Linked DNA regions of Drosophila melanogaster. The protein of the gene in region 3 interacts with the protein of the main gene of each other region in a pairwise test. Each region holds a gene or a part of one and is shown on either strand. Other genes may lie near its edges. The genes, in order: CG10737, CG11269 and CG10918.

Region 1 (3,766 bases), on a different chromosome or scaffold from region 3:
ATATTTATAAAATGCAAATACCCAGTGATTGATTAGTGACAAAAAGCTTAGACCCTGCTCAATTTGTGGGTATTCATGTGCATGTATTTCAGTATGGTTTGCACGTGAGTTAGGTGGCCAAATATATAAAAGTTTCATTAAATTCCAGAGCCAGTTATTTAGGGCCAGCAATTTCTCTGTGCGAAATGCAAATCGATAAAGGAGAGGGAGTGTGGTGGTTGGTTTTCAAAAGGGGGTGGTGGTGGCGGGCGGAAAAGCTTGGCACACATAGTAAACAAATGGTGTTTTCACTGAATTTTTATATGCTCTACTCACACGGTTGACCGAATTTTAAAGGCCACGTTAGCAAATAATATTCCTACGAATTTCGATTTAGTGCAAACAACAAAAAGTTCTACCAAAACACTGCCGATTATTCTTGTCTCAAAAATAATGCCGTTTCGTATTTTATTACTTAATATTTTTCAAATTATTTAACTATTTCGCTGCAGCGAGATAGAAGATAGTCGTGCTCTTCTCGCGTTGATGATGAAATTCTTTCGTTTGTTATTGTTCTTTTTTTTTGTTGTGTTTTTGTCACTTTGTTCGTTGCGAAGATGGCGATAAAGGAGAAGCGAAGAGGGGAGGCGAGGCAAATCGAGTAGACGTGTGAAGAATTTTACAAACTTCCGTAAAATTAACTAAAATTGAAAGACACAATTGATATCTTTTGTTCAATAAAGTCGTCATTTCAGCAATAACAATATTTTCGATTTATGCTAAAAAGTGTAAATCTAAGTTTTGACGCTTGAAATTGGCATTTTGCTATATAAAATTTAGTAAAGCATTAAAAATTCCACAATATTTAAATTCAAATCGAATGAAGCCACTCAAGTTACAGATAATCAAAAACAGAATAGTGGAAGCCACTCAAGTTTAAATAAAATACAATCGAGTTATTCAAGTTCGCCTGTGTTGTATTCAAACTTAAGTTCAATGTCGTCGGTTGCTTCCGCTTGCTCATAAAAGTTTCTTTTGCGATTGTTTCTCTGTTATATTTGAATGTCTTCGATAAGAAATCATAACATTCAAATTATGTAGATTGTCCGTTGGCCTTTGTGTGCTTTACACTGCACTACCCGGTTTTAGTTTTAACTACTTTACACTGACACGTTACTACTGGGCCACACAGTCGCTTTAGTGGTTTTCTATTTAAACTTGGCCAACATTTAAATTTCCCCAGCCACAATAACAACAACAACAATTAGAACCACTGAAGAGAAAGAGAGAGAGCGAGACAATCAGCTGTTTGCAGCATCAATGAAGAACGCTGCTTTTCGGCAGTCTTTAATTTCGATTTAAGTTCGGCATTATAATAAATTGTTTTTGTGTAGAACAAGCAACACATAGCCACACACGCACACACAGAAACACGCGCGCACAGTTTATATGTTAAATTGTATATTTCTGCAATGCTTTTTAAATATTTTGCTGCGGTACAACAAATATTTTTGCGGTTTGTTGCCAAATTTCCCATATACAACGTACACACGCTTATCGAATAAGCTTTCGTTTTATCATTTTGTTTCTTTATTTTATGTTCTTTTTTTTCTGTTGAGCACTAGGAACAATAAGAAATCTTTGCCGCCGCTATTTTATTTTTCATCCGCGAACGAAACGAACACCAACCTTACTCGTTGAATGTCAAAGAGAGAATAACATTCGCTCATAACATTAATGTTAAAAGAGTAGAAGAAAAATTATCGATATTTGTCGTCTTGGTATCGATAGCCATGTTTAGGCACTTGTTGCTCCCTGCAAATGTTGCGCAACATGGTTTCTAAAAAATATATTTTTTATTGATCTTAGTTTTTAAGTTCATTGTAAATTTGGAAGAAACAATTGTATCCATGTTTATAAGTTTCAACATTGAAAAATCGATAAAGCAACACATAGATTTTGTGGCAACTCCATATACTATGATTCGAATCCAAACCGCAGAATCCTTTAAACTCAAAACATTTTTAGCGGGAAAGCAGCTCGTTTTAAACTGCAAAATTCAAACATAAATAATATAATAATTTTAAATCTGAAAAATAGCAGCCTAATAGTCCAAGACCTTTACTGCCATAAATGTAGAAAATTGAAACAAATGTTGGTTTTTTTTTTACATACAAACGTTGCTGTTTATTTCACTTTACGTTCTTTTGTTGAATATGCATATAATGTTTTTGCGCTTCTACTTCGTTTCCCGATCGCCGCCGCTTCTATAACTTACGCCCCTTAACGATCTAAGTGAATCCGTTGCTGATTTTTAATATATATTTTGATCTCGAGTCAATGCTGGCTGCTACATCGTTTCCTCATCTCTTGTATGTATATTGAATATTCTGGTTGTATATAAGTGTATAATATATTTAATTTAATACATAAAAAGGTTGCGCCCACTGCAAGGCGCATCGATTTTCATTTGCTTCGTTTAAAATAGTTTACGTGTGTTTAATATTAAATTGTTTCCATTGTTTTCGCAATGCAAAGATCATATATAAAAATACAAAAATCATAACATTTACATACACACCGGACCGGACCGTGTGTGTGGCCGTCATATAACTAGGTATTTCATATACTCTATATAATCATATATATCATATATCGACGCAACCTCGCACAGTCAATATAAATTATTGTTAAATTACAAAAAATTAAAATGTATATATGTATTCGAATTATACACAACTACCACTCTCTATCGCTTTCACTTTTCAGTATAAATAAATTTTTGTCCACTTAATAAACAATTTCACTTCTTTATGCTTAAGAACTAAACTCTTCTTATCCTTTATCCTTCCTCTGCTCCCGCCTCGTGTCCTTCCTTTCGTCCTTCCGCTTTCCCACTATCTGATCCACCTTTTTTTCCGATTTGCTTGGCCTGCTATCTTTCAATAATTTCGCTATTTAGTCTTAGTCGTATATGGAAGTTGAATTGGTACGCATATGTTCAGGAGCGGCATTTTGCGCCGAGTCTGGGGGGAGTGTACATTATTTATGGGCGTTCCTTTATATATTTATAAGTATTATTAATATGTATAATACGCAGCAGTCGATTGTTAATTTAGCTTTCTAATTTCGCTGTATAGATCGTATAGATCGCTGGATCGCAGTAATTATTCGTGTGACACTAATGCTAAGTTGCTCGAGCTAACTCTGAGTCCTGAACACCACGCTCAATTCCGCTTTGAACTGTTTTTTTTTTTTGTTTGTTTGTTTATGTTTCTGATTTGCTGAAGACTTGCTGGTTCTTAAATTGAGTCGTATGAGATCGTGTGCTTAGGAAAATGTTGTGGTTTTGTTGTAGGAAATGCGTGGAGTTTTTCCATTTTTTCAGGAGCTTTGATGGATGACGTTTGTGGAATTGTTTTCATTTCGTTTTTGAGTCGTAATACTAGTTCCCTTTAGGTTAGTTTAATGAGTAGTCCATATATATTAAACCACATATATATATATATATATATATGCATGTTTTTGTGGCTGTGTATAGAGAGATACGTTCTATGTATAATTACAAACGTTGTTCATTTTGATTTTGTTGTTTTTTGGTACGAAACAATAGATAAATCCCGGCGAGCATAACAAACTAAAAGGTAGAGGTGGGGTAGTATGGAGAACAAACGAAAAAAGGGGGGGATGATTACGATATACCGAAGATTGCAAGCAATTCTCTTGTTCTCACACTAAAATTGGCTTATAGACTTATGCAAAATAATGTACAACAGAGTTAGTTACA
Region 2 (2,974 bases), on a different chromosome or scaffold from region 3:
AGAAATTGTACGGTCTCTCGGGTGGCACAATTATATAGAAGACCATCCATGGAGGAAATTTAGAATATTTCCCAGGTATTGCCAGATCTCCAAATCAGTTAACCCGAGTTCCCGAAAAAATGAGTAAATGCAGTGAACCAGTTTTCAGCAGACTGCACTTGGTTGGTGGTGATAACAAGCCAGATACACAAGCGTACAACTAGAAAATCGTGTACGATAATTTACACAACGGTTTTCGTGTAAGACACAAAAGCTCGGTCGATAAGAACAAGATACATAACCCCGGTGTAGACTAGACTACGGTATAGAGGTGAAAGGGGGGGGAATAGCCAGAACTGGGAACCCACACCCCATTCCCATTAGCATGTTTCGGAAAGAGAATTTCACGGAAATTTATGATGCCCAAAAGAGAACACACCTCGGTGAAGGTGTCACGTGCGCTGTCAAAAATCGGTTGGTCCGAGACGAATGCATAATGCGGAGTGGACAACAGTCAGCCAGACTTGAAATCGAAAAGTGGCTTGGCGATAAAGAAGTTAAGGCTAATCGCAGAATGCGGTCAACAAACTGGTTCTTTCGATCTTTCGAACCAACAAGTGGGTGGACGTCGCTGAGTGGGTGAAATGCAATTGGAACCATGAAAATAAATTGTTTATTCAATAACCAATCATACAAATCAACGACGGAATCGCAAGTGACCGGGACCCCGCTTGTAGAGTCGCTTCCTTCTCTTGTTATCCCGACGAATGGCCACTATCGCAATGAAGACGAATCCCAGATAGAAAACGGCGGCTACAAAGCACCGTGTGGACACGTCCTGGTAGGCCTCGTCCGCCTGCTCCTTGAAGGCCTCCTGACTGGGGAAGTGGTGGGGCAAGGGCAGGGACTCCAGGAGCATCAGTGACTGGACGTAGAAGAAGATACCCAGCAGATTCAGCATCAAGAAGCCCCAGGCGCTCATGAACAGGCAGAACAGACAGCACTTGCGACCACAAAACATTTTCAAGCTCGATTCAATTCTATGCGAACTTTGTGCGACAGTGTAGTCGAGTGTTGCTCTGACCGCAACAGGTGCCAAGTTTAAGCCGACTTCGAAAGCGAAACCGAATCCGAAATCGAAATCGGAATGTATTGGACCACATACTATTCATCCATCTATCTACATACGCTCGTACACAAGTACAACCTTGTGCGATTTCAGCGGCATTAGATCAGAGTGGTCGGAATATGGAGTTCACGTACCCGTGCCTCTCGCTTTCGGCGGCGTTGCGATTGGGTTTGTTCAACTCGAAATGGCTTAGATTCGGATTTGATCTTAGCCAATGATGGACAACTGACAGATATATCATTTGCACACATACATATGAGTATGATATAGAAGCAGCTCAACTTATTAACACTTGAAAAGCACGTCAAAAAAACGATGTATACAATATACTTCAGAACATCAAGCTTATGCAGAACGAAGACCTGCAATATATTTGATATTTCAAATCAGTGGCTGCATTTAGTTCTGCGTATTTATATATCAGAAGTGATTTTTAGAGAACTGAATGTAGGCCATGCCAACCAAGTAGCTGATTCATTAAAGGGCAGCCTCTGATTTGAATTCCCCTTGTGAATCATGCTCAAGAAATTGCAATAAAAATAGCCAACTAAATAAGTTTAAGCAATAATTAGCACAACTTACCGTGAGTGGTTGATGTTCTCGATAAATCCGCAGAGCAACAAAATTTTTGCCACACTTGCAAAGAAGAAGCAGCAGAAGAATTCACAATAAAGTTTTTACTAGTTTCTTGAAACTCCGTTACAAAACATCAAGTTGTTGTGAAAATTCGTAAGTCGTTTTCGCGGTTGCTAAACCTTTTTTACACTCTGTTGTTTTACTAACGTTTCCTTTATTATGTTTGTTTATGCGAATTGTCGTTAGTTTTATGGGTTACTAGACACGATTAGAGAGAAATCAAAAATTAGGAAAATTAAACAGAATTGATAAAATATTTTTTACTTATTGCACCACGTGTTGCAACTTGAGACATAATAGGTGTCAGCTCTAATTGAGTAAATATGTTTTGCTGGTAACTTAAGCTGCGGATTTCGTACAGCCACAGAAAATGGGGGTCAAGTCCATTAGGTTAAAACCCGATCCCCAAGCGAAAGACCTTGACATTAGGGCGGTTGCTCACTGAACTTGGTAATATCTTAAGTGTCTCGAATTCCCTTTGCGCAAATCAATCAACTTGTCTTATGAGAGCACGAAGAAAAATGAAAATAAGATCACTACATTTTTATTTAAATGATATTTCATAGCTTATTGATATATTTCTAATGAGTATTAACCTAAAGTTTGATCTTATATTTCAAGAGACGGATGTCAAAATATTATTCTTCGCTGATTATTTTCTCAGTGTGGGATTTCAGTTACAGTTATATGGTTGTTATTTGCCTTATTTGCTTAGCACATTCTTCTTTACAATCACACAGACACTTGCTTTGATTTGTGTATTCGTTTTTGTTGTAAGCGCAATTATCAGTACAAACATTTATAATAAAAAAAATTGCAATTTCAACAAAAAAAAGTGTTTAGCTTTCAGTTTAACTTTTAGCTTGAATTTGTTAATGTCTTCACTGAATTTTATTTGTGCTTTATGAAAATATAATGTACACACTGATAAGAGAATAATTCATTTTATGCTATAATAATTCACTTTATATATTTATTGTTTCTCTCACGTTTGTGATTCGCTTTGGGCATTTGTTGTTAAATCGGTTTGTTTCGCACTTTGGGACACTTCTCGATATTTAAACATAACATGTTTTTACGAATTCGCTTCTCGAAAACCGGTATGCAAATCCAAAAATCACCGCAATATATTCAAAACTATTTAATTGTATTTATCGAATTCTTCGTGCACCTTCACTTCGAGTTCTCGACTCCGATGCGACCGCCGCGCTACGAAAACAAAGATTGAAC
Region 3 (2,905 bases):
AAACGACGACAATTGGGCAAGCGCAAAAGCAAGAGGAATTGGGAGAACGCAGAAAAAAAGGCGGAAAAAGGGGAAAAGTACGGGAAAATGAAGGAAAGCCGTAGGGGAAAGCAGAAGAGGGACAGCGAAGAATACCTAGAACCACCAGCTTCTCTGAAAACCCAAAAGATTGTATCCGAAAATTATATTGACACGGTCGTGAATATGTGGCGTCAGTTTCTTCAGCCACACACACACATATGTACTTACTTTTGACGCAAAAATTAATTTTCATTTATATTTTTTTTTTTTTTATCTAAGCCGCAAATTTCTTTTTCTTTTTCTTTGTCATTTCATTTTCATTTTACTCCAAACGAAGTCACCCACCTTCCGGTCCTCGAAATTTCAATTTAAAAATCCCCATATGTGCGGAAAGCGGGAAACGCCATTCTATATTCGCGATTCTTAAACGCCACCCACTCCCGCCGCCCAACTAGGTGTCCTTGTCTCAGCCGCACATTTCACTCGACGCCCTGATTGATTCTAATCAGAAAATTAAGTGGCTCCTCGAGGTCGTTTGCCATGTATTAGCACTAATGTTAAAGATTTCTCTTCCTCGACATCCGCAACTCTCGAATTGGGAAAGTCAGAAAAGCTGTTCAGAGCTTTACTTTTCAGGAACTTAATCCACATTCACTCTAAGATGTTCGATCTTCTATACATATTTTTTTATTAATATAAGAAATATATGTTTATTACTTGGCAGTTGATATAGATAGATTTTAGACATAAATAAATGGCGCAAATGAAGGCTAAGCATGTGTATTTACAAATCAATTGACTTATTTCTGCGAATAAGTGTTACCAATTGAAAGGCCTTAAAAACTAATGAATTTACATAGTTCCTAACTTTTAATAAAGCATGAGAAAATTCAACTTTCGATGCTGGAGTATAAAACAATGCTATAGTCGAGTAAACCGACTAACAGATACCCGTTGCATACGCTTCTACGACTCTAGTATACCCCTTTACTCAGCAAGTAACAGGTATAAATATGTAAATGAAAAAATGAACAAAAAATATAATTTTTCCGACTGAGTCATAGATTTTAAGAGAACTTTTAAACGAGTGCTATTAGAATAAGTAACCCAGTTGTTGACAACAAATAAACAAAGTAAATAAACAAAAATTTGCAGTAGGGTTATAAACCTTCAAATAGACATTCATTTTCTTCTAAGCAAATTTACAATTCGTCTTAGTATTTGGCTAACGTTATGATTGTTTTTTGTTTCATTGTGAGGATACTGCGTAAATTTCTGTAAACTTCCCTCTCTGACACAGCACTTTTTTTTAAACTCAAACGGTTGTATTAAAATAGAAGAATAGAACAATGGAACTAATTCAAACATCGACCAGCTGTTGCCACACGACGAATGAAACAAGAGAAACACACGGATTATTAGATGCGAAGAATTCGAGCTCAGCTCTTCAGGGAGTTCTTCGCTCTATTTTCCATTCTTCGGAGTATCCAGCTAAGCACACAGCCAATGCTGCCGTCACGGGGGATTCTTAGCAAAAAGGCTGATGGATGAATTCGACACCGAATTTTTGGGTATAAAAGGGGCTACACGTACATAACTCAAATCAGTTGCTATTGGAGCAAAAGTCCCACAATGCGTGCCTACATTGCAATTACCCTGCTGGCCCTGGTGGCAGTTGTCGTGGCCCAAGGGGGAGGCGGAAGACGTGGTGGACGCGGTGGCGGCGGAGGCGGTGGCCGAAGTCTTGGAGGATTCGGAGGACGTGGAGGCGGTGGCTTCGGCGGTCGCGGTGGTCCTGGTGGTACTGGTGGCCCCGGTGGCTTCGGCGGACCTGGTCGCTTTGGAGGGCCTGGAGGACTTGGCGGTGGTGGAGGATTCGGAGGTCCCGGCCGCTTTGGCGGTCCCGGAAGCTTCAATGGTGGATTCGGCGGTCCTGGCGGTTGGGGCCCACGTCCACGTCCTCGTCGCCCAAGACCTTGGTGGACGACAACGGAGAGTTCCTTGGCCGACACCAGCAGCACAACTAGCAGCTCCTCCAGCTCCACCGACAGCAGCTCCTCTGCCAGCTCCACTGATAGCTCCACCGATAGCTCCACCGATAGCTCCACCGATAGCTCTACCGATAGCTCCACCGATAGCTCCACTGATAGCAGCTCCACGGAGAGCACTACTGGTTCGGGATAGATTCTGAGTCTCAATTGCAGCGTATTGAAAACTTTCTGGGAAATGTATGAAAATAAAATCTAATTGGCACATTGAAACTTAATTTCATTAACTTGGAATATATTAGTCATATACAGTCATATTAGTCTTACAGACTAGCCGAATCTATTCAGCAATGTCCGTTCGTATTAAGACCTTTGATTCGCACCAAAAAATATCTCGATTAGCATATGAGATTGAAAGCTGTCTCTTAAGAGAATTATCGTTTCTGTTATTTCTTCGATATCGACAGGCAAATCAATCATCTGATTAATGAAATATCATCATTTGTTATCATAAAGTAAACAGCATGAAGGCTAGTTATTTTGATAATTTAATTTTGGCAGCTGCCTGCCGAATAGCTCTATTAGGGCAAATTGAATTTTCAATAAGTGGTAGGCTAAGCGAGAATTGGACATAATAGGAAACACCCGACACCGCTGAGAACACCACATGACATATGCTGCACCATTTCGAGTCCAAAGGGGTGGTGCAACGAACGGGGGCACGGGCACAAACGTGCGGGGAACCTAGTAGGAGTAGGGACCGAAAATCCGGACGCCATATAGAAGAGGGCTGAGAGTGCGGAATGTCCAAATCCAATAAATTGACCAATAATGAACGCTCGAATGCAGCTCGAGGCGAGAGCGCTGTGCAGTGGGTGAACGTGGGAGCAAAGTTG

The links.
Region 1: the proteins of CG10918 (region 3) and CG10737 interact in a two-hybrid assay, tested with the Drosophila melanogaster proteins (one large-scale study listed by BioGRID).
Region 2: the proteins of CG10918 (region 3) and CG11269 interact in a two-hybrid assay, tested with the Drosophila melanogaster proteins (one large-scale study listed by BioGRID).

The regions. Positions count from the first base shown.
Region 1 is NT_033778.4:19,162,078-19,165,843, reverse strand, and holds the start of CG10737 (uncharacterized protein), read right to left. Parts: upstream 1,702-3,766; 5' UTR 1,669-1,701; intron 681-1,668; exon of another isoform or gene 1-680.
Region 2 is NT_033778.4:22,136,968-22,139,941, reverse strand, and holds CG11269 (uncharacterized protein), read right to left. Parts: upstream 1,048-2,974; 5' UTR 1,001-1,047; coding exon 677-1,000; 3' UTR 647-676; downstream 1-646.
Region 3 is NC_004354.4:21,427,992-21,430,896, reverse strand, and holds CG10918 (uncharacterized protein), read left to right. Parts: upstream 1-1,640; 5' UTR 1,641-1,653; coding exon 1,654-2,205; 3' UTR 2,206-2,283; downstream 2,284-2,905.